Linked DNA regions of Rattus norvegicus. The protein of the gene in region 5 purifies or fractionates together with the protein of the main gene of each other region. This does not show direct contact. Links are inferred from orthologs where the notes say so. Each region holds a gene or a part of one and is shown on either strand. Other genes may lie near its edges. The genes, in order: Anapc7, Cdc26, Anapc2, Anapc4, Anapc15, Cdc27 and Anapc1.

Region 1 (3,766 bases), on a different chromosome or scaffold from region 5:
GGTTCAATTTGTGGCTGAACAGATTTTGCCTTCTCTCAGCACTGACTGGTGAGTGGGGCTGCTGGCGGGGTGGAGTCAGGAAAAGCACCACCCACATGCTGCTTGCTCAAAGGGAGCCTGAGACTGCTCAGGGCCGGCTAGTGTGGAGGCTGAGGCTCACTGACACACTTTATGAGACCTGGTCCGCTTAACTTATGTCTCTTAATGCAAATCTTGCAGTGCAGCCCAGCACATTTGAACTGTCTGCCTCTGCCTCCCAAGTGCAGGCTTCCGGAATGTTTCCACCAGACTACGTGGCCCACTTCACTGCACTGACAGATGCTCTGAAATCGACTACGGATTCTTTACAGTAAACCTCATTTCTTCCTAGCACACCGATCTGCATCTTGAAAGGCACCCAGGAGGGACCTGGAGTCGACCCATCCCCAGTAGCTGAATGAGACTCTAGGCAGATGATCAAGGCTGACCCTGCCCTCAGGGACTCAGGAAAGAGCCAGGCTGGTTCTGTGTGACAAGCTCAGGGCTCTGCCTCCCAGCACATGGGAGAATAGGGAGTATATGTATGTCAAACTGTCTAGGCCTGCATGGCTGCCTCTGACAAGGAGGAAAAAGGAAGAGTCTCAAAGGGTGTCCACTGTGACATGTGACACCACACTGGGCAGTTTTATTAGTTGAACCTGCCCTGGGGTGGCCATGCTCCCATCATCTGCTTCTCAGATCTGCCCACTGAGGCCGAGCCTGCTCTGCAGTCAGTGAGGCACAGCCCGCCCCCCCCCATCCAGAGCTCCATGACTACAGGAGTGTGGCCGTACCAGGATGTGACTCCCAGGGACCGAACCTCTGACAGGGCCACCCAGGGGCATGTGCTCTTAAGAGGATGGCTCAGTCCTATGTACCCGCTCATAAAGAGAAAAAGCATCTTCCATTTCGTGCAGCCGAACCATCCAGAATGGCGAGTCTGTGGCTCGGAACTCGCTCAGTCCACAGCAAAGCAGACGGACAAACATCAGTGCCAACTTGAGGAAACAGGCAGAAAGGCCTGCTGTGAGCACACGTCCAACAGCTCCTGCCACTCTAGGGACACAAGGGTCACCGCTGTGCCCTCACTGCATGCCAAACCACTGCTCCTGGTCAGCCCACTGGGCTGCCTCACTGTCGCTACCCTCCAGGTCCCCTTCTTCCCCACTGCCCTCCATGTCGTCCACGTCGTCCTCCTGAGTGGCGTCTGTGGGGCTCCCCTCCTTCTCCATCTTCTGCATGCCCTCCAGGGACTTCTGGTCATTGGGGTCCAAACTGAGGAACAACAAAACAGAAGACAGGCCTGAGTCTCTGCCCTGCTTCTTGGGACTGTCACTGAGCTGGCCCAGCAGATATGACTAAGCCAGAGACGTTGCAAACAACTGTGCTTCCATGGCTGGACCCAGGGAGTCCATCAGAGATGAAAAGGGACATTATTCGGAGTTTTAGAACTTTTAACTTGAAGGGGCCGGAGAGGTGGCTCAGTGGTCAAGTGCATCTGTTGCTGGGTTCAGTTCCCAGCACCCATATATGACTCATGACCAACAGTGACCCCAGTTCCCAAGTATCTGACACCCTCCTCTGGCCTCTCTGGGCACCAGGCACATACATGGTCCACAGACATTCATGCAAGCAAACCCATCCACATAAAATAAATTAATAAACAATTCACTTTAAAATGGCAATTAAAAATTCTAACTTCAAATTTTCCTCCAAAAAGTTTTTAAAGCTCCTCAAATACCAAGCCCTTAACTCTCCTGTAGGCAGTGGAGGCAGTGGGGGAAGTGGAGGCAATGGGAGGCAGTGGGGGCAGTGGAGGCAGTGGGGGCAGTGGAGGACAGTGGAGGACAGTGGGGACAGTGGGGGCAGGGGAGGCAGTGGGAGCAGGGGAGGCAGTGAGGGCAGTCGGGGGCAGTGACCAGACAGAGCAGCGGTGCTCGCAGAAGGCCTGGTGCTTGAGGCCAGGCACAGGACACAGCCCAGCACATCCAGGAGGGAAACAGGATCAGGACACCCGGGCAGCCTCGGGTACATGATGATTGCATGTAGCCTGCCCCAGGCTGGTTATTCTTCCATGTGACTTTATACCGTGGACTGCAGGCAGCCACCGCCGTCAACCATGCTACACTCTGGGACAGATCATAAGTCCTGAGGCTAGGGGCTGGACTAAGACAGTTTCACTAGTAGCAACACCATGAAGCCCAGAGCCCAGGAGCCTCATTTATTTGGCTCCTAAGAAAGCTTTAAAAGAAAAGTCCTAGAAATTTACATTAAAAAATTAAATGTATTATTGTGTGTACACACACACATTGTCTGTGCGTTGTGTAAAAGCCATGGCGCACACGTCAGAGGACAACCTTGGAGTCAATTCTCTCCTTCAACCTTTACATGTGTTTTGGGAATCGAACTTGGGTCTGCACGATTATGTAGCAATTATTATCTTGATACCCCTAGTTAATGCCCAATGAGGTAGGTATAGACAGGGAATTGGTTAGTATTTGACCAAGATAACAGGTAGAAGCTGTACTCAAACTTCGGAATTTAAGTTTTTAATTACTAGAGCAGACAAAACCAGAAGCACACACTTAGCAAACTCTGATCATAAAAAGCAGAATGTAAAATATGTACTCGGCATAAGCCTATGACGTCATGGGGGTGTGGGCAAGCACAGGAGAGCCGCACAGATCAGTCTGGGTGTTACTCTTATGTGGGCTGGAGAAGGATGATCATCTCTAATTCTTCTAATATGCTTTAGGAAAATATGTCAGGAGTCATGAATTTGCAAATACCTTCTCTCATTGCTATTCTTAGCCTGCCTTCACCTTGGGCACAGCTGTCTGCAGAGCTGCCTGGGCCCTGCTTCCTTTCCTCTCCTCCCCATGGAGGCCGGGCACCTACCTCAGTGCTATGCTATACTGGTCCATTGCTTCCTGGTACTCATTCACAGACACCAGGAAGTCCCCCAGGATGCGGTGCAGGACGCAGTCGCTCTGGTTGGCCAGTGCATTTCTCAGCAGAGCAATTCCATCTTCGTACTTCTGCTCCCTGCCTGCAGAGAAAGACAACCTTTACTGCTCAGCTAGTGCACAGTCACACCCACTATGACACGACAACTTTCTCAGAGACCCCCTCAAAGGGGCGCTGCAGGGGTGAGGGGCATGTGGTCTCTAGTTCATTGGGAAATGACATGAGTACTGTGTCTTTAAAAACCATGCATCCATGAACTTATTTATACAGTGGTGTGGGCAAGCACACACAGCACATGAGAGGAGGTCAGAGGACAATCTATCTATCACGCAGGTCCTGAGGACTGAACTGAGGTCGTCAGTCTTGGTGGCCTCTTTACCCAAGCCACTGAGTCTGTGCCCTGAATCTTTAAAAAAAACTTTTTTTTTTTTTTTTTGCAGACGAGCTGTCCTGGAACTCCTCTGCAGACCAGGCCAGCACCAGATGAGGCCAATGGCCCTGAACTAGAACCCTGAACCAAAATACCCTCTTGATAGCATCAAATAAACTTAGGAATATGCCAGAAGCAAAAAGAACAAGAGAATCCAGATAGCTCAGAACCAAACTGACCAAAGTCAGCTGTAACACACTAAACGAGTTCAAAACTAAACCAACCAGATGAGTTCACCAGCTACCAAGTAACGTTAACTGGTGTAAACCAACCTAAGCAGGTCTAAGCCACATCTGGTGTGACACACACAGCACTTCAGGCAGGTGCAGGCAGAACTGCTCCACCATCTGT
Region 2 (3,981 bases), on a different chromosome or scaffold from region 5:
TGTGGGGAAAACACAACACAACAGACCATGCCAATCTAGGGCAAAAACAGAACTCTAAGGAGGGTCCTTCAACAGCACTGCATGAGCATCTAGCCGAGGGTGGGCTGCCTAAGAGTGGCTAGGGATCTCAATTCCCTATGGGAAAAGGTGTCTTAGTGAATTTGAAGGGTAGGCAGACAGACTTAAGGTCAGAGAAGTTCATATGGAGAATGAAGGTTTGTGTTAACAAAGCCCATGTTTGTTTCAGAACAAACACTTGAGCTGGCAGCACCCGGTAGAGTGGGCCCTGCAACTCACCTGGGCAGCAGTAGAGCTAGCCCCGGTGAAAGGCGTGGATGAGGTAGTCCCTGAAGACCTGAGAACAGGAGAGCTGACACTCCCCCTTGCCAGCTGTGGCACTGGGTAAACTAGCTGGAGCAGTGTTGGAGAGTTCACCCGGATGGTGCAGATACAGGTGGCAGGCTGATCAACTCAGCTACCTCCCAGGACCAAATCCAGGGCTCTGAGTTGGCCCACCCCAGCATCTACCCCATCTATGATCTGCACAAGCTGCAGGGTCACATCTCCATGACACAGGGCAACAACATATCTGAGAGGAGTCCTAGTGAGGTTCCAGTATAGTGTAGCAAAAGCCAGAGGCCCTAAAACAGGCCCATGACTCATTGCACTGAATGAGCATTTATAAGTTTAGGTGTGTGGACAAACGGGTATACTCCATGATACACCATGATGTGCTACAGAGTCCATGACAAATTTTTGTTTATTCTATCTTATTTTCTTATTGTAGGGGGGAGGTTGCAAGGGCAGATGCAAAGGGACAGGGAGATGAGTGGGACTGGGGTGGATGATGTGATGTTCACAAAGAATCAATCAAAAGTTAAGAAGAAAACCTAAGGGGTTGGGGATTTAGCTCAGTGGTAGAGCACTTGCCTAGCAAGCGCAAGGCCCTGGGTTCGGTCCCCAGCTCCGAAAAAAAGAAAAAGAAAAAAAGAAAACCTAAGCTGACTTTAGTATCTGTTGAAGGTATTGTCTCTATGTCCTCCACAGCATCCACAACAAAGTAAACTGAGCCATAAAAAATAGAGAAAGTGAAACTAACTTTTCTTAAATTCTAGACTCTCCCATTATTGGTTTTTCTTCTCACTTTGATAACTCAAAAGTTTTTGCCTCTTAAAAAAAAGTTTGTTCTATTTATTTGTTGGGTGCTGGTGAAAGCACATAGCCCACAGGCAGAGGTCAGAGGACAATGTCTGGGAGTTGGTTCTCTCCATCTACTATGTAGGACACCACACTTAGCATGGGCTCCTTTACGACTGAACCAACCCACATTCCCATTCTTTATATTACTTTAATACAGAAGCCTTGGGAAGCTTGAAAAATTATTCCAGTTTTATAAAGTTGAAGCAAACAGTTTAATTAACAAATTCAGAAGCCGGGTGGTGGTGGCACACACCTTTAATCCCAGCACTCTGAAGGCAGAGGCAAGCAGATCTCTGTAAGTTTGAGGTCAGCCTGGTCTACAGAACATGTTCCAGGGCATCCAGGGCTACACAGAGAAACCCTGTCTTCCAAAAAAAAAACAAAATAGCCTCCTATAAAAGTTACTCATAGACCACTAGAATAAAAAGTTGTGATAATGATCTTCGTGAAAGTTCCGCAAAAAAAAAGTTCCGATATAGTGTGCATCCATATAAATTATTATTGCATGCTAGCAGAATGAAACAAAAGACTACGATGTATACGAAACATTTACACTTCTTACACTTCTCTCAGGAGTGTCACATTATATCACATCTCAAGGGGCCATATGGTCAACACAAAACACTGGCCTGTGACAATTCAAACTGCTTTATTCTATCAGATACTACCTTCTACCAGATCCCTAAGTAGAGAAATGGAAGCCAGCTCCAAAGAGAAAGGGAAGAAATACTTAAGAAAAATAATTTCCTACTTGGGTATGAACTGAAAGCCTCACCACTAGAGAGCAACAGTGAGTACGGGTTAAAAGCGCGGCAGTCCACCCGCCACATTACTAACCCTACTACACTGTGGCTCCAGAACGACGGATTACCTTTTCTCACCAGAATTTATTTTCTGATCTTTACTCTTGTTGTCCCGCGACTTAAATAACTAAGATAGAATAAGCTCCTTGCGCGTAACGTGGCATTTAGTAAGCCCTCGAAGTGGAAGTGCTCTTCTAACTGGAGTTGTTCGGGGAAGAAAGAGGCTTAAGAGTGAGAATGAGTCTGTTCAGCTCAGCAAACGCGAATATTTTGCAATCCCCGCAACTTTCATGTAAGGGTTTAAAAAAAAAATATCTCTGACGGCCTAGCAATCATTGCAACTGCAGCTGCTGGTATACACTTTATCTGGCGCCTCCCTGGACCCTTTATTTCAAAGAACATATAAAAAGAACAGGCTGTAGACAAGTAAAACAACAACAAACTAGGCCGCAGCTCCTCCACCACATCTCTATTTTAGCCTTAGAAGGCTCTTCGAGTTTAATGTCTTCTTAAAGCACAAAATCACTTCGTAGCCACCCAGTTACCAGGGGCCCCCGGAGAACTTCCGTCGTGAACAACAGTCCTCTTTCCCAGCTCCAATGCTGCAGAAGTCTAGGGAGAGATTTCAATGGCAGCACAGGCCTCGGTTTCAAAATGACGGAAGGCCTCCCGAAGGAGAGCAGAGACCCTTGGTTTGTTCCAGATTAGACTTGCGATTCGCAAACTTACCTCTTTTCAGGCCTCTGAAGCTTCCCAGAACCTCAACTCCCACCTTGACTCCATTGCTACGCAGCCCGAACTACACTTCCCAAGTTGCTCTGCGCCTTTTTTTCCCACGCGCCTCTTCTCCCGAGAGGTTGTGCCGCTCTATAAGGCCACGCCCATCGATGACAGCCGACACTTGGCAACTACCACTCCCAAGATACTTCGCGACTCCTAGAGCACGAACTGGTACATTTCCGGCCAGTGACGCACTTCCACTTTGCTAGGCGCGCGGTTCCCGGTCTGAAAAGCAGAACGGGATTTGGCTAGGGCCTCGCGGCTCCAGAGCCCGGCATGGCCTCCTCACGAGCCTCCTCCACGGTACGGAGTTCCGCATCTAAGTTCATGCTTATCCTCTCCTAGGGAGGACGCGGTCCCCGTGGGAAAGGGCCGTTACCTTACGGGTCCGGGCAGAGGAGGAGGAGGAGGAAGGCTGGGGGACCGTGGTGTGGACCTTAGCAGCCTTTTCCTGATTTCTAAACGCCTAAACTGCAGCTCTTTTTGCACTGCTCTTACTTAAGCCCTGAGCAGTGAACAACACTTTTTCTGACTGCTCCAAAGCACAGTTCTTTGAAATCGGGCAGTGTCTTGACGTAAGCTGTACGACTGGTACTTATGAGGCCTCCCAACTTCTAATAGGCTCTGAAAGTATTTGAAATGTGTATTCCAGTAACATTGTGACTTGGTGCGCCGAATTGTTTGGGTTGTTTTGGGTGTATGTCCAGTGGCGAGAAGTTATTTTCGTAAAATCGGAGATTGCATTTCGAATAGATTAAAGTAACAGGCCCCAAAACAAACCAAGACATATCAGACAGAAATTGTTTAATTGTAATTGTGTGCCAAATTTAACGAGAGCGTGAGCTCGGCGCAAAGTCACTTTCGACTTTGTCCTAGTTGTGAGAGGAAATAAAATGAAGGCTCAGCATTTCCTTCATTCTTTTGGAAAGCATGGTTTGCTAGGACCAAACCTTAATCGGGGTCTTTGATTTAACAGACAACCAAAACTAAAGCACCTGACGATTTAGTTGCTCCTGTTGTGAAGAAACCACACATCTATTATGGAAGCTTGGAAGAGAAAGAGCGGGAACGCCTGGCCAAAGGAGAGTCTGGGATTTTGGGAAAAGAAGGACTCAAAGCCGGCATTGAAGCAGGAAATATTAATATAACGTCTGGTAAGATGCAAGTTGAAAATCACACACCCCCTCCCCCCCTTTTT
Region 3 (4,084 bases), on a different chromosome or scaffold from region 5:
GCTGACCAGGAGCTCAAGGTTCCAATAACACATGTGAGTGCGGAGCTGGGAACACATCTTCCATTGGACTGTCCTGGGGCTTGTCTTGTCACTCAAGGCAGGTGGAGGTCAGAAATTGACACTCAGGGCACCAGAGATAAAAGACATCTGAGGCCATGGAGAACAAAGATGCTTTAGGACAGACATGTTGGGGAGCAGCCATAGGCCACGGCTGAGACAGGGCTTGTCAGCTGTCTTTGCCTCCACTACTCTTCTGGTCTGAAGCCGTGGCTTTAGTCAGGTTCCCAGCTTCTCTTTTGAGTACACTAAGCAGAGTCTGAGAGCTCTCCAGGATCTGGGGCCAGAGAAATAGAAGGATGTTATTTCTCTGGTAAGAAGATTCCCACTGCCTCAGCCTCTGATAGTGGAGGATGGGAATCTCAGTCTGGCCATCTGTGCTGAGTCAACGGGTTATGGAGGATGGTGGGGGCAATAAAATTATCCTCCCTCCTGCACCTGTCCCAGAGCTCTTCCACCCTGCAAAGCCAGGCTGAGTTAGTTCACCCACCACTATGGTACTCTGTCCAGCACACCACTGCTCACTCTCTTGGATCCCACAAACAGCCCACTGTCCGGCCTACAGCCTCTGAACCACAATGGGCCCTACCTAGCCTCAGATGGTAGTGAGGCACTGACAACGCATATCTGAGAGCCCCACCTTGAGGTAGGCGGCCTCTGTCTCCGCAATGGTCCGGTCAAACTCGTTGCGAGAGGCGATCTTGCGCGCCAGGTTCTCGTTGACGCGGGCCAATTTCTCCGTGAGCTGCCTCACCTCATTCTGTAGCCGCTGCTTTTCGTCCTCCTCCTGCTGGATCTGCCGGCACAGCTCCTCTCGTTTCTGACACAACTCTTCGATGCCTAGGGTGGGCGGGAAGACAGAGCTGTAGGTTGGGGCTCGTGAACTTCGGACCCCGACCAGCACGACAGAGGGGAGGCCGCAGAGCGGAGCTCGTGAGGCATGTCGACGCAGCCTCCCGAGTGTGTGGGTTGGCCGGCCCCCGGCCCCGCGGCCTTCAGCGCCCGACGCTCACACTTGACCAACTCGTTGTTGTAGTTCTGCAGCGCCGCGCCCTGTTGGGTCATGGTCGGCACCGCGTCCGTAAGCCTCAACCGCCGCCTGCACCGCCAAGCCCGCGCCTGCGCACTGCCTACACAGCGCGCGCGAGCAAGCGAACGTCACGACTGCGCCACAGCCCGCGCTTGCGTCATCACCGTGCGCTACGCTGGGCGGGTCTGTTTTGTGGACAGTGATGGAGGCCGAGGGTGTGGCGGTATCGGTGGCGGCGGCGGCGGCGGCGACAACGACAATTGTCGCCACGGATGACTGCGACTCTAGGCCTGGACAGGAGCTCGTGGTTGCCTGGAATACTGTGAGCACCGGTCTGGTGCCGCCGGCTGCGCTGGGGCTGGTGAGGCCGGGGAAAGGTTGGCGGGCCTGTGCAGAGTTGCCACGACTTTGTCCTTTAGGGAGTCCATCCTTGGGTCCTCATAGCTCCCGTGCTCTGCCCGTAGTGGGCTTGCCTCCTTCCTCAGCTATCTGATTTGTTTGGTTTCCTGGCAGCCCTTCGGCTGCTGTTTTTTTCCACACCCCTCCTCTCCTTTTACCCCTGTTCCGCCCCTCTGCTCACGGTTTTCCGTGCTCCAGGCATCTTCCCGGACCAGCGGTGCAGTTCCACCAAAGGAGGAAGAGCTTCGTGCAGCGGTAGAAGTTCTGAGGGCCCACGGTCTGCACTCTGTCCTGGAGGAGTGGTTCGTGGAAGTGCTGCAGAATGACCTTCAAGGCAACATTGCCACGGAGTTCTGGAATGCCATCTCCCTTCGCGAAAACTCTGTCGATGAACCCCAATGCCTTGTGCTGCTCCTGGATGCGTTCGGTCTGCTGGAAAGCCGCTTGGATCCCTATCTGCATAGCCTAGAACTCCTAGAGAAATGGACTCGTCTGGGCTTGCTGATGGGCGCTGGAGCTCAGGGTCTTCGGGAGAAAGTTCACACTATGTTGCGGGGAGTCCTGTTTTTTTCCACCCCTAGGACATTCCAGGAGATGGTCCAGCGCCTCTATGGTCGTTTCCTGAGAGTCTATATGCAGAGCAAGAGAAAAGGAGAAGGGGGCACAGATCCAGAACTAGAGGGAGAGCTGGACAGCCGGTATGCCCGCCGCAGGTACTACCGACTTTTGCAGAGCCCTCTGTGTGCAGGATGTGGCAGTGACAAGCAGCAGTGCTGGTGCCGGCAGGCCCTGGAGCAGTTCAACCAGCTCAGCCAGGTCCTGTAAGTACTGCTTCCTGGCCATGCCTCAGTTTCTTTAAAAAGATCTCTGAATAGAGCTAATAAACTGGATGGCGAGGTCTTTTTCGCCTATACTTGTGACCAGGGATTATTGTGTATCAAGTGTATGCTGTCCTGGACATAGGCCTAGGGTGTGTGTACAGTGTCTTTCTGGGAAGACCCCTTCGGGTAAAGGACACATGTGTTGTGGGTTCTCCATAAGCGGGGATCTCCTCCAGGCATAGGCTCAGTCTGCTGGAGCGGGTTAGCGCTGAGGCCGTGACCACCACCCTGCATCAGGTGACCCGGGAAAGGATGGAAGACCGCTGCCGAGGAGAGTATGAGCGCTCTTTCTTGCGTGAGTTCCACAAGGTGAGAATCTCCTCCTTGGTCTGTTTCCTGTTAAGGGCAACGATGGGGTTGGGGTAGACCTAATAGCAAACAGTGGAGTGGTGATGGTTGAGATTATCTTGCTGCCGTATAGAGGCCAATCTTGGACCCTGGTGACAAGGACAAATCTGGTATGTACCAAATAGGTCTGTGCATTTAAAATAAAACCTTTAAATCCTGGGCCAGAGGTGGCTTCAAGGAGTTTCCTCAGGCAGGTGTGGCAAGACAGGTCTACCAGACCCTTTTCTTTCCACTGTCCTATAAAACATATGTTGACTTAACAGTTCCCTTCAGGATTAACCTATAACCAGTCTGGAGCTAGGCTGTCCTCAGTGAATGCCTCTGGTTGTCCATACTCTTGAGGTATGGTTTGTAATTCTTCTGTGGGGTTCCCAGCATTGTGAAGAAGCCAGGTTGAGCTCCATGCAGTCGTGCACCTTGTTTCTGCTTCAGTCCATACCTCCCACTCTTTGAGTGTCTGTCTGCTGCAGATGCATATTAGCCATGGTAGGGAATGATCAAAGTGGGTGTCCCCGCAGTGTTAGCCGTGTAGAGTCATGAACCTGGGAACTCCTGGGGCAGCTGCATTGAACCCTGGGCAGTGGAGTGTAGATCTGATACTTCTGGCCTCCATGCACAGGTCGGGGCTCCACTAGCATCCTGCCGAAGCTGTGTGGTTGCTGAGTCAGAATGGAGCTTTTAAATGTTATTACACCTCATACTAATGATCTTTCACAGTGGATCGAGAGAGTGGTTGGTTGGCTTGGCAAAGTGTTCCTTCAGGACAACCCCAGCAGACCAACTTCTCCAGAAGCTGGGAACACACTGCGTCGTTGGCGCTGTCACGTACAGAGATTCTTCTACCGAATCTATGCCAGCCTACGTATTGAGGAGCTTTTCAGCATCATCCGAGGTTGGTCCTGCTTCTTACTTTGCAGGACCTACCTTTCCCAGTCATTTTCTTTGCCTTACCTGCTGCTGTTGGCAGGGTGATAAGCTGAGCAGAGTGGACTTAAGTATAACATGTAGGAAAATATAGTGTCAGGTTGTAGAGATGTCTCATCAGTTAAGATGGCTTGTTGCTCTGACAGAATACTCAGGTTGTTGTCAGCACCCGTGTGGCAGCTCATAGCCATCTGTAGCTCCAGTTCCAGGAGATCAAGAACCCTCTTCTGCCCTCCACTGGTACCAGGCATCCACATGGAGCCTATACATCTGGGCAGCAAACAGTCCCTGCAAACAAATACTCACATGCATAAAGATTTTAATCTTTTTTTTTTTTTTTGGTTCTTTTTTTCGGAGCTGGGGACCGAACCCAGGGCCTTGCGCTTCCTAGGCAAGCGCTCTACCACTGAGCTAAATCCCCAACCCCAAGATTTTAATCTTAAAA
Region 4 (4,072 bases), on a different chromosome or scaffold from region 5:
ATTGTTCTGTTCCTCAGTGGATTCCGATGAAAAGTGGTAACAAAATCAGATATAACTCTAAGAGAAGCCACTGGAGGAGAATGGAGCTGGGTTCATAAGCATTCACACAATGGCAAGACTGAGGGTTTATACTGAACTGAGATCATCGATCAGTCCTACCAGATGGATTTCAACAATTTTAACCTGGAGACTTGCTTGCATCTAAATTAGGGTGTTTGTTCAGTAATAACATTTAGAACCTTTCAAAAAAAAAAAAACTACTACACATGACAAAATGTAGACTTTGCTAAGAAGGATGAGAACTCTCCCATCTTGCAGGATGGTCTTTGTACTTAAAACTGTCCCCCAGAGAAGTTGTGATCAACATATTGATTATTGAAGTTGCCTGGCAGTCAGTTTCTGTCCAAATTTTCTCACAAAATTGAATGTTTAGATAGCCATAGAATAAATCCTGCTTCCTCTTAACTGTGGTGAGTTTGTTACAAGTTAAGTGATTATTTAAATAGGATGAGAAGTCAAACTATTTGTCCCGTGTCCGGGAGGGTACAAACACTTTAACATATTTTTCTGTAAACAGTGTTTTGTTTTGTTTTTAAATGTTAATTTCTGTCCAATGTTAATTCTCTTTTAGTTTGCTAAACTTCTGCCTGATAGAGAGGGCTTTTTGTTGTTTTAAATTCTACTGTGCAGCCAGCGCTGAAAACTACTATGAGTGTCCCAAAGGAGGTGTGTGGATCGGGAGTTTTGATTAGAGCCTAAACCTGGAACAATCAAGGGATTATCTGCATTGAAGCAAATTTCTGAACAAACGGCAAAGACCTTAAAGGGGTTCCCACTATGAGTGTCCCAAAGGAGGTGTGTGGATCGGGAGTTTTGATTAGAGCCTAAACCTGGAACAATCAAGGGATTATCTGCATAGAAGCAAATTTCTGAGCAAACGGCAAAGACCTTAAAGGGGTTCCCACTTGTCCGCGTATACACCGTTAAGGATCCTTTGGAGCTTGCTGGGTACTAGGCAACCCAGAGTAGCGGACCTTCAAGGCACTAGAGCTCGCTCCGCCCCTAGCCACGCCCAGCCACGCTCCTCTCACTTCTAGCCCCGCCCACCCCTGCTGTAGCCCAGGCCAACTTTGCCTTAGGCACTCGCTTGCCGCGTCCACATAGCTCCGCCTCATATCAAGCCCCGCCCAAGTGCGCAGCCCTGCGTTCTCCCCGCCCCACCTGCGCGCCGCCGCTTTGCCACTCACTTCCTCTCGCGAGGACAACCTAGCGTCGGCGCCGGAAGCTTCCTCTGAGCGCGGAGGGCGGAGTGAGAGGGCGGGGAAGGCAGCTGGCTAGGAGTAGGCCGAGTTTGAGAGTCTGGCAGGTACCGCTGCTGGCAGGGCTTTGCGCCAAAGCTTTGTGGCCGGGTGCTCCGACGGCCTTCACGAGAGCGTCGTTGCAGGGCCGCACCCATGCTGCGCTTTCCGACCTGTTTCCCATCCTTTCGGGTGGTGGGAGAGAAGCAACTGCCGCAAGAGATTATTTTCTTGGCCTGGTCACCCAAGCGAGACCTCATTGCTTTGGCCAACACTACAGGCGAGGTAAGTGAGCTGGTGAGAGTTTGCCTATGCTGGGACTCTCGAGCCTCAGTTTCCCCTTTCGCAGACATGTTGAATCACATATCTATCCTGTCCCTACATCTCAGCGTGGCTGTTCACTTGAAGAGAAAGTGTAAAGGACCGTGCCTGCCAAACATGGTGTATATTCCATTTCCTGTATGGCCAGAAGAACAAATTCCCTCAAAGTTCTGCACACACAGGTCTCCATGAATTGATTTGGCCAGGGATGCAACATCAGACCCCGCCCAATTGGCTTTCAGATGAGTAGAGAATGAAGATGAACTGTCAGGTCCAACTAGAAATGTGTGTGTGTGCACGCGCAGTTGCTACGGAGGATGTTTGGTTTTGAATTTTTATATTTTTGTTACATCTAGCTATTTAAAAGATCTTTAAGTTGAGAGGCTGTGCTTCACAGAATTGCAGACAGAATGTGTATGAACATCGTCAATTAGCATTTCTAACATTAGAAACGTGAACACTCAGTATCAAGTATAACCAGAACATACCCAACTTTTTGTGGGGGAAAATTATTACCTGGCAGCCATCTTGAAAGGAACCCTTCAGCTGTGCCATTTAACATCTCACCTATGTAAAACTAGGTGGTAAGGAAGTCCTAGCATCCAGGGCAGTTTCGTGTGCCAAATTGCATTATCGTGTTGTGTGTCATGATGGCTCTGTCTCTAAGATCCATGGCTGGTGACAAAGCTAAGAGCAGTCATGGTTGTTATTTTACTATGTCACAGCTACCTTTTGATATTGTTTCTGTTACTTCTTTTGTTTGTCATCTGGGACAGCCTTCTTAACCTTTTCAAAAAAGTAAGCTTAAAAGATATGAAAGGGGCTGGAGACGAGCTCAGCCATCCAGAGCACATGCTGTTCTTAGTGATGACCTGGGCTTGGTTCATAGCACCCACATGGGTACTCGCACCTGTCAGTAGCTCCAGTTCCAGGGAGAACTGATGCCCTCTTCTGGCCTCCTTGGGCACTGGCTGCACAAATGTGATATAAATATATACATGTACACACGTGTACTTTTAAAAAAAATGAAGGCCGGACAGATGACTCAGTGGTTAAGAGCACTGACTGCTCTCCCAGAGGTCCTGAGTTCAAATTCCAGCAACCATATGGTGGCTCACAACCATCTGTAATGAGATCGATGCCCTCTTCTGGTGTGTCTGAAGACACCTACAGTGTACTTAAAAAATGAAAATATGTAGAGTGCAGGTCTGAGTTGTGCCCTCTGAGTTCATCCATTTCTTTGAAAATGTCTTACATTCATTTGGACACAGTTGCTTTGTGGACAGCTAAATACTCAAAAGTGGTAATTAAAGTTTGTGTTCTGGGGGTCTAGGTTCATTTTATTTCTGCAGATGAGTTTCTGCTATTACATCTTTTCGTCTTAGGTTTTACTGCATCGCCTTGCAAGTTTTCATCGCGTCTGGAGTTTTCCACCAAATGAAAGTACAGGAAAAGAAGTGACCTGCTTGGCCTGGAGACCAGATGGCAAACGTATGATAATGCTACGAATGTGTATCTTTTATTTTCAAAAAGGATATTCTAAAAAGAATACATTTTTCTTGGCACATTTTAGAATTATGGTTTTGTTTCTGTTATATAGGTCTTACCACACAACCCCGACTGACCTAGGACTTGCTGTGTAAACCAGGCTGCACTAGAACTTACAGAGACTCACCTGCCTCTGCCTCCCCCGTGCTAGGCTTAAGAACATGTGTTACCTACCATACCTGGCCCTATATTAGAATTGTAAATACTAGTTTGAGACTTTTTCTTTTTAGAATGTTTAAAATATTTTTCGTGAAAGTCTGTTGTTGGCAAGGATAACTCTTTATCAAGCCCTGGCTTTGTGGCAGATAGGATCGCAGTCTGACACAGTTATAGACCACTTGGCTTTGGTTCTCTCTGCTCTCTTGTCCTACATCATTTGACCCAAGTACCGTTCACCACTCATGGGTCAGTTCAGTGCCATCACAGCCCTTTTCTCCCCCAAATTCAGTTGGCACTAAATGTGAGGTTCATAAATTTTCTCTATGTAAGGCAGTTTACCACTCCCGAGAAACCTCCCACTGGGACTCCATTTCCCACAGGTCTTTTCCTGCTGTTGTTGTTCAGATCATTCATCTTGCATGGGTGTGTGTGGGGGTTGCATGCGTGTGTCCAAGTGGGTGTGGGTGGGTATGTGATTTGTTTAGTTTTTTAAATTGATAGTTTTTTGAGCAGTTATTCCAAGTGTTAGAATAGTAAAATGCTATGGGCTACAGCTTGTGGTCTGTAAGTCACATAGGGCTCTGAATAACAATGAATGTGGCCCATGGCCCAACACAATTTTTTTTTAAATATTTATTTATTTATTTATTTTGTGTATGTAAGAACGCTGTCTCTATCTTCAGACACACCAGAAGAGGCCATCTGATCCCATTGCAGATGGTTGTGAGCCACCAAGTGGTTGCTGG
Region 5 (4,266 bases):
GCCCGCCTTGAGTGTGGCAAGCTGCTGCATGACCTGAAGGACCTTAGTACTAACTAGGCACAATGCCTAGCCCTCGAGTTCTCACTTTCACTGTCTGCCCAGACTGAAAACCACAATTGTTCTGAGCCAAAAGCAAGGCCGTTAAAGTAAGGCCTTGTCCACTGGTCTTCACACAGCCCACCCACGGGACCACAGGACCACTCACCTCGGAGGCAGGCTTGCCGATGGGTACCAGGTTGTTGTCTTTCTCTGCGATGCTTTGGAGCTGTAGGCAAAGGAGTGTGGGGAAAAGTAGGGCCACGGCATAGGCAGAGCAGGTTAGGAGCACTGGACTGGCTCATTCTGCCCCTTACCAGACTCCCAATGTTGAAACAAAGCTTCTCCCCCGACCCCAGTTCTCAGGAGGATTCAATCTCCCTTTCTCTTGTCATCTGCTCCTTATAAAATAGATGGGCATATGTAAAGTCTTTTGGCCTCAGTGTTTTCATATAATTCTGGTGAGGGTGAAATGAGACACTCAGCCTAGAATATGGCATTGTGTGGGTCCTCATTAAGAGTTTAAATGATGGGCTGTAGAGATGGCTCAGTGGTTAAGAGCACTGACTGTGGAGTGGGTGGGGTGGGGACATCTTTGTGGAGAAGGAGGATGATTGCGGGGGAGGAGGAGGTATGAGATGTAGAACCCTGGGGGAAGGGACCAGGAGGGAAATAAAATCTGGAGTGTATAAATAAATAAATAAGCACTGACTGCTCTTCCAGAGGTCCTGAGTTGAAATCCCAGCAACCACATGGTGGCTCACAACCATCTGTAATGAGATCTGATGCCCTCTTCTGGTGTGTCTGAAGACAGCTACAGTGTACTTATATATAATTAATAAATAAATAAATAAATAAATAAATAAATCTTTAAAAAAAAAAAAGAGTTTAAATGATTAAGTCCTGTGATGTACAGAAAAGCCTTTAGGCTGCCAGGAGCTTGCCATCTATCTAATCTAGCCCCAAAGTCCTAGGGTCCCTCAGCAAGTTAAGGTACCACAAAGTAAGACCTTTATCCCCAAGAACCCAGCTTGAGTATTCCCAACACAGTGACAAATGTTTTCCTAAGCAGTGTACGGCAAGGTCATATCCTAGGTGGTGCACCTCCATGCTTCGCTAGGTCCTCACTCACCCAGGCCTGATGCTGCTGCTCCTGCTGCTGCAGCTCTGTCTCCTCCACACAGGGTCGATCCAGATTAAACCACAGTGTCTCAGTCACACGAGGAAAGAGTGAAGGGAACAAGGTGGACATGGCTCCTAAGCTGAGGGAAAGGGTCACGTGAACACGTTTTGTTTTGAACCGATGCAGTTGTAATTTGATATAGGGATGGGGTGGAGCGGGAGGTAGCAGAGAAGCTGCCCTTCCCTCTTGAAATCAGACAGACCTGAGTTTGAGTCCTGGCTCCATCACTTACTAGCTGTTTGACTTTGGCCAATACACTTAACCTCTCTGGGCCTCAGTTTCCTCATCTGTAAGAATGGGGATAATTAAAATTATATCATCCTCAAAGTTATTATGACAAAAAATAATAAAATAATGAAAGCTGTATGCTGCTTGAGGAGAGAAGAGACTGGGAGCCAGAGACGGAATGTGACATTGTGATCATGTACAAAATTAGCGATAGTAGAGACCTAGTAAAATTCATTTTAAACACACAAACACACACACACACACCATAAAACTTATTTTTTGCTCTTTCACATACAACCAGTGCAAAATGTTTCAGACACGAACCACCTCTCTCGCCAACCAAACTACAGTACACACAACCAAGGATAAAAGATATCCTAGGAGGGTTGAGTAAATAGAAAAACAAACTAGTGTAAGAATGAATAATGAACTAACATGTAAGAGAAAAAAAATCAACTCTGTGGGCTGAAGCTGCTGACCAGGAAGGTAACCGAGAAGCTCAACTAAAACCCATCTGCTCACAAACCCAGTGACATGTTAGAGCTTGACTTCGGCCACACACTCGGTGGGGATTTAAAACATATATAAGGAAGGGATCCTGGCCCAGTAAAGTAGGAAGGGCACAGGAAAAAATAAATTAGGTGTCTACCTTGGTGTTTCCCCCTATTTTTAGTAAATGAGATAGGGTTTCACTATTTAGCCCTGACTGGCATGGAAGTCACAACATAGACCAGTCTAGTCCCAAACTCACAGAGATCAGCATGCCTCAGCTCCCGAATGCTGGGATTAAGGGCGTACACCAGCTACCACACCAGGCCCTACTCTAGCTTTGGTTCTAACTTAATTTGACCCACGCAGAACTAAACGCTGTTATTCCCTAAACCAAAGCCTCCCAGGTCCGTGTGACAGGAAAAAAAGCGTCCACCCCCATCCCAAAAGTACTGACAGATTTTGTATCCTAAAATCCTACCCACCACCGCCCATTCTTTGCTCATTATGATAATGACTGCAAGATTGACCAACAAGAAGGAGGCAGGGGCGGGTCTTCATCAGGATTTAGACCTTATAGGGATGCTAATCGCAAAATGCGCGCGGCCTGGCTGAAGCCAATTAACTGAAAGAAATGCTGGGTGACAGGAAGTGAAACCAATGCATGACGGAACATGTGTGATGGGTGGGGCTTAGACTCTAGGAAGCGGCCAATGAGTAGGATGTCGTTAAGAGTAAAAAAGGGGAAAATGAGCTGCTAGGGAGGCGAGTCAAAGGAACTAGGTTTCTCTGAAAGCCGGAAGAAAGAACAAGCAAGGAGACGACAGTAGTCTTGTTTCCGCACTTACCGCGCCAAGAGCCGGCAGCCGGCGGCGACCCGGAAGCGCTTCCCCAGACCTGAGCGGAAGAACCCACCAGAATCCGGGACTCACTAACGCATGCGTCTTCCGTCTCCTTTTGTTTCCCGCTTCAACTACCACACCGGAAGTGATGTTGACGTACCTTAGTTACGTACAGGTTGGGGGAGGACATTTATTTGCTCCGTCTACCTATCGGCCCCGCCTTGAGTTTCAAGGGCCTGGTTTCTGCAGGCTAGCCCCTCTCCAGCGTCCGTTTAGTCCCGCCCGCTTGTCACTAGGCGGTGTCTGAGTGTTAAATCTCTTCGAAATATAATGGTTTCCAGAAGTGTTCGCTTGTGAGGATCCTGTGTGTGCTGCGTTCCAGGAACATCTGTTCCCTTCTGTTCCTCTCAGACTCAGTTTCCTGTATGAATACATTCTTTTCTTTTTGAGAGGCTACCTTGAACACGCTAGACAGGCCTCTGACACGGAGCTACATCATATCCACAATATTTGCTTTTCTTTGTTGAGACAGGGTCTCACTGCGTATTCCTGACCGGCCTGAAACTCACTAGACCAGGTTGGCCTCGAAGTCAGAGATCTTCGGGCCTTGCCTCGTGCCGGTATAAAAACTGTATAACACCATGCTGGCCTCTTTTTATCTATTTAAAATTTTATTTTATGTGTATGAGTGTTTGGAAAGCGCGCGCGTGGGCTGGAGAGATGGCTCAGTGGTTAAGAGCACCGACTGCTCTTCCAGAGGTCCTGAGTTCAATTCCCAGCAACCACATGGTGGCTCACAACCATCCGTAATGGGATCTGATATCCCCTTCTGGTGTGTCTGAAGACAGCTACAGTGTACTCATATACAAAATAAATAAATAAATCTTAAAAAAAAAAAAAAAAAAAAAAAAAAGAAAGCGCGCGCGCGTGTGTGTGTGTGTGTGTGTGTGTGTATTTGCACCAGTTCGTGCCTGGTGCCTATAGAGGCAAGAAGCGGATCCCTGGAATCCAAGTGGAGTTAAAGATGGTTGTGAGCCAATCTATCAGTGCTGGGAATTGAACCTGGGTTCTTTGGAAGGGCAGCCAGTGCTTCATCTATCCACTACTTTGTTTTTTGTTTTGTTGTTGTTGTTGTTTGTTTGTTTTCTTTTTTGTTCGTTTGTTGAGACAGTGTTTCTCTGTGTAGCCTTGACTGTCCTGGAACTCACTCTGTAGACCAGGCTGGCCTGGCGCTGCCTCCTGAATGCCTGGATTAAAGGTGTGTGACACCACACCTGGCTTTTCTCATTTTTTATGTATGCGTTGGACAAAAAGTATTTGTGTGAAGTCTGTTTCAGGTTCTGATATAAGCTGGGTATAAATCTGTGAACATGTTAATTGCCCTCAGAATACATATAACAGCCTTGAGGAATCAGTCAGCAATTGGCCCCCACATTCTATTTCTGGGAAATTCAACTGCCCTCCTGAGGTGTATCCAGCCTGTCAGGA
Region 6 (3,500 bases), on a different chromosome or scaffold from region 5:
ATATAGCAATATAATTTACATATTAAATAAAACACCATATAGGGTGGTTTAAACAAAAGAAAAAAATGGGGTGGGGATTGCAGGTTAGAAAAACTCTTCTTCCTGAACATTTTTTGTTTTGTTTTTTAAGACAGGGTTTTCTCTGTGTAGCCCTGGCTGTCCTGTAACTCCTTCTGTAGATCAGGCCGGTCTCAAACTCAGAGATTTGCCTGGCCTGCCTCTGCCTCCTCAGGGCTGAGACTAAAGGTATGTGCCACCGTCACCTGGCTTTTTTTTCTACCTGGGTGAATGCAACAATCTACTCACTGACCAGCGATGTTTAGTTTCTATTGGGTTAATGGTTCATAAAATTAAAAAAACAAAGACCAACTTTTCATCATCACTGTCTCAAAGGAATAACACATGGATTCATTTGGAAAGTAAAAATGGTTCTTCGAATATGAATATCAGTACAAAGGAAGAGTTAACACATCTACCACAAAATCCAAAACAGAACAACAAAAAACTTACAGTAGGGTTGAAACTGAAAAATACAAGTCTTATATCTGCTTCCTAACTCATGTATCCTTTTGCTTAAACTTTGTCCTTTCTTATTACCTAATAGTACCTTTTCTTGGTCTCTTTTCTAAATTTTTAGACTTTACTTTCTAGAATAGAAAGAATCCAGGGCTTCATGTACGTAAGGCAAGCATCAGCTTCTACCTCCGGGCCCTACTCTGTCTGAGTTCCTGTCCTGACTTCCTCTGAGGAGTAATAGCAATATGGAAGTGTAAGTCAAATAAACCCTTCCTTCCGTATTTGCTTTTTGGTAATGGAATTTTGTCACAACAATAGTAACCCTAACTAAGACACCAGGCCTGCATGTGATGTACGTAATACATACATATATACGAGCACAATAGGCATACCTAAAAAAAAAAAATCATAAAAAGAAGAAGAGCCACTCCTTGGGTAAAGGTGCGCGTTGCCAAGCCTGGAGAAAAGGCTTGCAATGCTCTTCTAACCTCCACTGTTTGCTGTGGCCCACACAGCCCATACAGACACAATATACACAAATTAAATTAAATAAATAAAACGATCTTTAGTAAGACTTTGTCTCTTTACTTACCATGCATTATAATGTCTGGGATTTACTCTTATAGCATTTCGAAAACATGCTAATGCTTTATCTAGTTCTTCAGTTAACACAAATTCATGTCCTAATAGAGTATAGGCATAAGCATAATTTGGATCCACCTGGATAGCTCTTTGGAAGAATTTAATTGCTATATCATGCTCCCGTTGTAGACTGAAACAATTCCCTGCAGCACACCAAGCCTGACAAAACAGAAACAAGAACTAGTCAGTTAAAAGTTTTTATGCTCTATAAAGAAAACTATCGTCAAAAGTAACTTACAATTTTAATTTAATTTTGACCTAAAAAACTGTGTGTGGTGTGAGTGTGGATCCTTGCTTTCCAGCTTGTTTGAGTCAGGGTCTGTGTTGTCTGTGGTGTGCAGCAGGCTAGCTGCCTGCAAGCTTGCCAGGGTTTGCCTGTCTCTGCTTCCCATCTCCTCCCTGTAGAGGTGCTGGTATCCAGCAGTTTAACCACACTATGCCTGGCGTTTATGTGGGTTCTGGAGATTCAAATTCAGGTTCTCATGTTAGCACAACCATTGTTACCCATTAAGCCATTTCTCTGACCAAATTTTTATTTTACTTTTTAACAAAACCAATCCTGTGACAAAATCAAGTCTCAGATTTTATTTACAGGACAAAACCCTGAAGAAATTCAAATTTTTGACTATGATTTTCTCTTTTTAAAAACTCTTACTCATACACAAATTCCACATGTGCAGGTTAGAGCAGAGTGTTTTTCTTTGATAGAGTTTCTCTGTGTAATCTTGTCTGTCCTGGAACTCACTTAGTAGACACCAGGATGGCTTTGAACTTGGAGATCTATTTGCCTGCCTTTGCCTCTTGAGTGTGGGATTAAAAGCATGTGGCATCACAATTGGCTTAGGAGAATGGTTTCAGGGAGCTGGTTTTCTCCTATCACTATGTGTTCTGGAAATAGGACTCAGGGCGCCAGTGTGCACAGCAAATTTTCACCGGCAGAGCCATCTCCCTAGCACCTATTGAAGCTATCTTACTGGCCATGTTTTTTTTTTTTTTTAATTTTCTTAAAGATGATATAATATCAGTATTTAATAATATTAGTATTTAATCTGTCCTCCTGTGAATTTGTACACTTGTGAAGTTTACAGAGGCCAGAAGAGAACAGCAATTTGAATCCAGGTTTGCGTGCACTTCACTAAAGTATCACTAAAAACCATCTGAGTGGCTGTGATTCCGGCTGTGGGAATGAGAGGTTCAAAAGTTAAAGAACAGCCTAGGGAAAACAGCAAGGTCCTGACACCAGGGACGAACAAAGACCTTCAAATAAATGTCCTGAAATACTTACTACAAGATTAGTACATATGAATCAATCTATGTCTGTCTTCAAATGGCAATTAAGGGCCAGCAAAACGACTCAGTGGGTAAGAGGGCTTGCTGCCAAGCCTGATGACCTGGAGTTGAATCCTTGGAGTCCACATTATTTAAAGAAAAATGGACTCTCAAATGTTGTCTCCTAAAATCCAAATATACTCACTATGGCATGTATGTGCTCCCACACACAAAATCTGGTTGGATTTTTTGAAGGTTGAAGTTCTGTTTGGCTGTCTGGACAGGCCTTCCAAGAACTGAGTGACAACCAAGAGTCACCAAGCATGGCTTTTTGGCATGTGTGAGAAGAGTCTTTCTGAAACAACCTCATGAAGTCCAGAGTTAGTAACAAACTAGCTGTGTAGTGAATAACTCAATTGTTTTGTAATTATATCTTATGACACTTTGCAAAAATGACAAAAAATTACCTAACAATGCACTTGCCAGAATGTATCATTACGTGATACAGGACTATATTTGTTCTGGTGATCAAAAGCTATGTTGGGGTCAAAGATTATGTGCCTAGCATACCTACAGTGCTGGGTTCCAGACCAGCACTGCACCCAAAAATTAAACGAGTAAAACAGACTGCTGTTAGCATACCTCTGGTGAATTCTTATCCATGTCTGTTAAATCTTTTGAAAGAACCGAAAGAGCAACATCTTTCTGAAGATGCCAGAGTGTTGTAGAGTAGATCTCCATACCCTCAACTCTGAAACTCTCAATCCTTCTAACTTCTGAGAATATTCTTTCAGCCTAAAATTAAAGAACTAGTGAGTGAACTGTACAGACAGACAGACTAGTGCAGGTTATTGTCGTCACAGGACCAAATTTCTGCAAGGACTGTGCTTTATGGGAATCAGTATGGAGAGAAATCACTGTGAGAGGTCAAATACTGAGGCATTAGCCTAGTTCCTGTATTTTAACTAGGGATAAAGATGTAAAGTCTGAAAAAAAATTTCTATTAAAAAAAAAAAAAAACAAAAAAAAAGACAAAGATGGGGCTGGAGCAATGGCTGCCCGACAGAGGACCT
Region 7 (3,500 bases), on a different chromosome or scaffold from region 5:
CCAGTGTTAGATGTTCTCTTACTGAGCTGTAACCCAGGCCCAGCCATACTGTGCGGTTTCTGTGCCCCAGTCTCCTGAGTGCTGGGATTATAGGCAAACACCACCATGCGTGGCTATACTCCACTGAGGGGAAAACCCATATATTAAACCACACTTGTTTCTTTAATCTTGATGACAGCTTATGTCTTGCTTTTTAGTTTACTATTTCCTAGTACTCAGCTACAGTAGTGTTTAAAATGAAAAAAAAAATGGTTAAAATGTGAGTTAAAGCTCTTTACTGTGAAAAGTTCAGTGCATATTTTGTGTTCTAGAATTCATTTCTGCCGTTAAGAATGTGTTCTGTAACACATCTAGCTTTAAACTTGGGAATTTAATCTCAGATTTAAGGATTTCAGGGCAGAGGTTTGTTGAGGAGCCTCTGAGTACCTGGATCTCAGGCCACACAAGCAAAGCTGTGTTAGCTCAGCCGCCGGGGGCAGCCACTTTCACTTCCTTTCTTCCTGAGTAAGGAGGTAACAGTTCATGTAGTCCACTTACATCTCATCTGAACCGCTCAGCCGGTACTGATCTTCCTCACAGCCATCGGGGTGTGAGTGTACGGAAGCCCCAGCCTTGATGTCAAGTGTGGATTGTTGCCAGAATATTTTGAAGATTTTTTTTTCTGGCTTAAGTTAGCATTTTTTTTTTTTCTAACAGAACCTGCATGAAAAGCTAATCCAATTGTAAGTTTGAGCTTAATTCTGAATATTGAAAGTATATAAATATTAAAGGACAGCTCAATATCTTGCCTTCTGGGATTTCAGAAGTAAAATAGGAACCTAACCTGAAGTACTCCATTTTCAGTTTTGAGTAGTTCATATGAGAGAAGACATGTTTATTACTGACCTTTTGGTAAATCAACACTTCATATTACCTTTGCAAAAGCTTGTAACTTCCTAACAGAACAGGATGACAGATTCTAGCTTGTTTTGTCTTGTGGGACCATTGTGTGAAAGGAGGGGGTAGAGTTCTTATAACTATAGGCCTTATAGTGTGAGCAGAAAGGGAAGTAATAATTGGTTATCTCATTTAAAGTGGGAATTGTTTTTCTTTTTAGCCAGAAACAATTTCATCATTCACTTCTGATCCAGCACTTCTGTCATTTGCTGAATATTTCTGCAAGCCGACTGTGAGCATGGGCCAAGTAAGTATTATATTGTTTTATTGTTTGCCGGGCACCAGGATAAGACTTTGTTAGTTCTATCAATAGACAACCAAAATCACCTGTACTATTCATGCCTGCCTTTGAGGTTGATGATATCCTTTATGTGTGTTAGAGATTGCTGATAAAACCTGTGCCTTCTATTGCCACCACCACATCTTCCTCTCTCCCCAGTCCCCTTGTGGATGTGACTCTGAGAACTCCATTTACCTGGGTGTTGTTTACCCCTACATCTCTGTTGGTGCTGTGCTGCCTTTCTGGATCCCACTCCCAGCTGACTGAAGGCTCGTCTTTGTTGTTCTCACAGATTTTTTTTTTCTTTTTAACCCTAAATTGATCAATTATGTGCCAGATCACATGCTGCTACCTCAGCATTCTTTTTGTGTTTTCAGTGATGTTATAACACTGTTTGGACTATGACTTTGTGAAGAGATGAACTGTTTACACTGTTTATCGTAGAGCTTCAGAATGAGCTATTAGTAGCTGTCACAGGTTGTTTCTTGAATTGGTTTTGTGATATGCTTTGATGTGCTACAAAGTACTTGTGCTTTCCCACAGAAACAGGAGATTCTGGACCTCTTTTCTTCCATACTTTATGAGTGTGTTGCTCAGGAAACTCCAGAGATGTTGCCTGCCTACATAGCAATGGATCAGGTATGATTCCAAAATCATTTGCATTCTGTTGCAATTGTATTGATGATGTGCTTCAGATGACCCACTACACAGTGTGGGAAGATCCCTATGGATTCAGTTTCTTGTTTACTTTTAGACATCTTATCAAGAAGCCATTTCCAGTTGACAGCCCTATGCTGATGCCCAAAGGCTGGACTTTGTGCTAGCAGGCGTGCTCTCTGGAGACTGCCTTCCTCTTGGGAGTCCCACATCCCTTTCTGTCTTCTTCCCTTGGTTTGGAGAGGAAGAGATCATTTCCTTTCTTGCTCTAGTCCTCCTGTGTCATCTCTTGCCACCTTTCTTCATGGGAAGGCCACAGATGAGTAGCAGGTGAGCCCTGTGTGCCCTGCTGTTTGCCTGGATATGCACTTCCACCTCCTCGGTCAAGTCTGCAGGCAGTTTAGAACCAGGAGCTGGTGATTTAGGGACATTGTGTTTATTTTTATTCTCTTGATATTTTGTAAGTGCCTAACAGGGACATAATCTGGCTAAAATTAGTCTGGGCAATCTTAAAATGCAGATCTTCAAATCCTGTTTCATACCTTCTAAGTTAGAATCTGGTGGGCAAAATCTAGAACCCATAGTTTTAAAAATTCTACAGTAATATGAAAAGTGTATAGATTGGCATTTGGGACTCTATTCTCAAGCCAAAGAACTAATCTTTGATGATAAAAATAATCTTGTGGATAACTGAGTGGGAAAAGCAATTAGGCAAGAAACAACTCCCCAGGCATGAAAATCACAATATGTAAAGTCGCACTCTGCATTTCAGCAGGAGCATAGGGCCAGCCAGAATGTGTTACCGTGTGGGTCTTCTCTTCTCAGTTGCAGAGATTCATGGTACTGTGCTGGTGTTCTGCGTGCTGCCTCTCTTGGCACAGCAGCTAAGTTAGGCTTCTTGGTTGTTAGTTAAATGTTCTCTTCTCTTTACAAACTGTGGGTACCCTCATCCCTCCACCATCTAGAGCAGTCTCCATGGATGAATGTCTCCTCTGGTGGTAACCATGGTATCTTTATGGGTGATTCTTAACATCAGTGTGATCAGTGATTAGGTCTCTGCCCCACTGGGATTCCTATCTGTCCCTGCTATGTCATTGTACCCCAACTTCTTCCCCAGAGATTTATACCTGTGTGTGTGTGTGTGTGTGTGTGTGTGTGTGTGTGTGTGTGTTGGGGAGGGGTCTTCATCATTCAGGGTTGCTGAGCCAAGAATGGACTTGACCTTTGTTGCTTTTACTTGGAAGTTGCCTTCATGTTAAGCCACACTGGGGAGGGCTCTTTAATGTAGTCAATGACACTTCAATACCCATGAATCTCCATAGCCTCTTGCTGATCTTGTTAGCCATTTTGGAACATACCCTGAAGACAACGTGATTAGAACAACTTGCCATTTCATTAAACAGACTGTTCTTTCTGTCTCTTTACACAGGCTTTAAGAAGTCTTAAAAAGAGAGACATGTCGAACACATCTGATCTTTGGCAGATAAAGTTGATATTAGAGTTTTTCAGTTCACGAAGCCACCAGGAAAGGCAGCAGACCTATCCTAAGCGAGGGCTCTTCATAAACTCGGAGTTCCTACCTGTGGTGAAGTGCACTGTTGATTCCACCCTGGACCAGTGGCTACAA

What was found.
Region 1: the proteins of Anapc15 (region 5) and Anapc7 purify together in Homo sapiens (affinity purification with mass spectrometry; 3 studies listed by BioGRID and IntAct, with this or other methods). This does not show direct contact. The link is inferred for Rattus norvegicus from reciprocal best matches to the Homo sapiens genes ANAPC15 and ANAPC7.
Region 2: the proteins of Anapc15 (region 5) and Cdc26 purify together in Homo sapiens (affinity purification with mass spectrometry; 3 studies listed by BioGRID and IntAct, with this or other methods). This does not show direct contact. The link is inferred for Rattus norvegicus from reciprocal best matches to the Homo sapiens genes ANAPC15 and CDC26.
Region 3: the proteins of Anapc15 (region 5) and Anapc2 purify together in Homo sapiens (affinity purification with mass spectrometry; 4 studies listed by BioGRID and IntAct, with this or other methods). This does not show direct contact. The link is inferred for Rattus norvegicus from reciprocal best matches to the Homo sapiens genes ANAPC15 and ANAPC2.
Region 4: the proteins of Anapc15 (region 5) and Anapc4 purify together in Homo sapiens (affinity purification with mass spectrometry; 10 studies listed by BioGRID and IntAct, with this or other methods). This does not show direct contact. The link is inferred for Rattus norvegicus from reciprocal best matches to the Homo sapiens genes ANAPC15 and ANAPC4.
Region 6: the proteins of Anapc15 (region 5) and Cdc27 purify together in Homo sapiens (affinity purification with mass spectrometry; 3 studies listed by BioGRID and IntAct, with this or other methods). This does not show direct contact. The link is inferred for Rattus norvegicus from reciprocal best matches to the Homo sapiens genes ANAPC15 and CDC27.
Region 7: the proteins of Anapc15 (region 5) and Anapc1 purify together in Homo sapiens (affinity purification with mass spectrometry; 3 studies listed by BioGRID and IntAct, with this or other methods). This does not show direct contact. The link is inferred for Rattus norvegicus from reciprocal best matches to the Homo sapiens genes ANAPC15 and ANAPC1.

Annotation. Positions count from the first base shown.
Region 1 is NC_086030.1:39,793,849-39,797,614, forward strand, and holds the end of Anapc7 (anaphase-promoting complex subunit 7), read right to left. Parts: intron 3,068-3,766; coding exon 2,917-3,067; intron 1,294-2,916; coding exon 1,104-1,293; 3' UTR 501-1,103; downstream 1-500. UniProt on the Homo sapiens protein: Component of the anaphase promoting complex/cyclosome (APC/C), a cell cycle-regulated E3 ubiquitin ligase that controls progression through mitosis and the G1 phase of the cell cycle.
Region 2 is NC_086023.1:80,872,527-80,876,507, forward strand, and holds the start of Cdc26 (anaphase-promoting complex subunit CDC26), read right to left. Parts: upstream 2,801-3,981; 5' UTR 2,733-2,800; intron 5-2,732; exon of another isoform or gene 1-4. Other genes in the region: Prpf4 (U4/U6 small nuclear ribonucleoprotein Prp4), read left to right, coding at 3,060-3,086, 3,760-3,937. UniProt on the Homo sapiens protein: Component of the anaphase promoting complex/cyclosome (APC/C), a cell cycle-regulated E3 ubiquitin ligase that controls progression through mitosis and the G1 phase of the cell cycle.
Region 3 is NC_086021.1:28,483,344-28,487,427, forward strand, and holds the start of Anapc2 (anaphase-promoting complex subunit 2), read left to right. Parts: upstream 1-1,284; 5' UTR 1,285-1,289; coding exon 1,290-1,448; intron 1,449-1,684; coding exon 1,685-2,307; intron 2,308-2,543; coding exon 2,544-2,676; intron 2,677-3,432; coding exon 3,433-3,607; intron 3,608-4,084. Other genes in the region: microtubule nucleation factor SSNA1, read right to left, coding at 227-334, 698-897, 1,071-1,122. UniProt on the Homo sapiens protein: Together with the RING-H2 protein ANAPC11, constitutes the catalytic component of the anaphase promoting complex/cyclosome (APC/C), a cell cycle-regulated E3 ubiquitin ligase that controls progression through mitosis and the G1 phase of the cell cycle.
Region 4 is NC_086032.1:62,367,773-62,371,844, reverse strand, and holds the start of Anapc4 (anaphase-promoting complex subunit 4), read left to right. Parts: upstream 1-1,272; 5' UTR 1,273-1,454; coding exon 1,455-1,583; intron 1,584-3,004; coding exon 3,005-3,110; intron 3,111-4,072. UniProt on the Homo sapiens protein: Component of the anaphase promoting complex/cyclosome (APC/C), a cell cycle-regulated E3 ubiquitin ligase that controls progression through mitosis and the G1 phase of the cell cycle.
Region 5 is NC_086019.1:165,672,994-165,677,259, reverse strand, and holds the start of Anapc15 (anaphase-promoting complex subunit 15), read right to left. Parts: upstream 2,801-4,266; 5' UTR 2,785-2,800; exon of another isoform or gene 1,883-2,784; intron 1,507-1,882; 5' UTR 1,445-1,506; coding exon 1,422-1,444; intron 1,299-1,421; coding exon 1,169-1,298; intron 266-1,168; coding exon 206-265; intron 1-205. UniProt on the Homo sapiens protein: Component of the anaphase promoting complex/cyclosome (APC/C), a cell cycle-regulated E3 ubiquitin ligase that controls progression through mitosis and the G1 phase of the cell cycle.
Region 6 is NC_086028.1:89,911,771-89,915,270, forward strand, and holds part of Cdc27 (cell division cycle protein 27 homolog), read right to left. Parts: intron 3,223-3,500; coding exon 3,070-3,222; intron 1,318-3,069; coding exon 1,109-1,317; intron 1-1,108. UniProt on the Homo sapiens protein: Component of the anaphase promoting complex/cyclosome (APC/C), a cell cycle-regulated E3 ubiquitin ligase that controls progression through mitosis and the G1 phase of the cell cycle.
Region 7 is NC_086021.1:136,310,465-136,313,964, reverse strand, and holds part of Anapc1 (anaphase-promoting complex subunit 1), read left to right. Parts: intron 1-1,096; coding exon 1,097-1,183; intron 1,184-1,759; coding exon 1,760-1,855; intron 1,856-3,302; coding exon 3,303-3,500. UniProt on the Homo sapiens protein: Component of the anaphase promoting complex/cyclosome (APC/C), a cell cycle-regulated E3 ubiquitin ligase that controls progression through mitosis and the G1 phase of the cell cycle.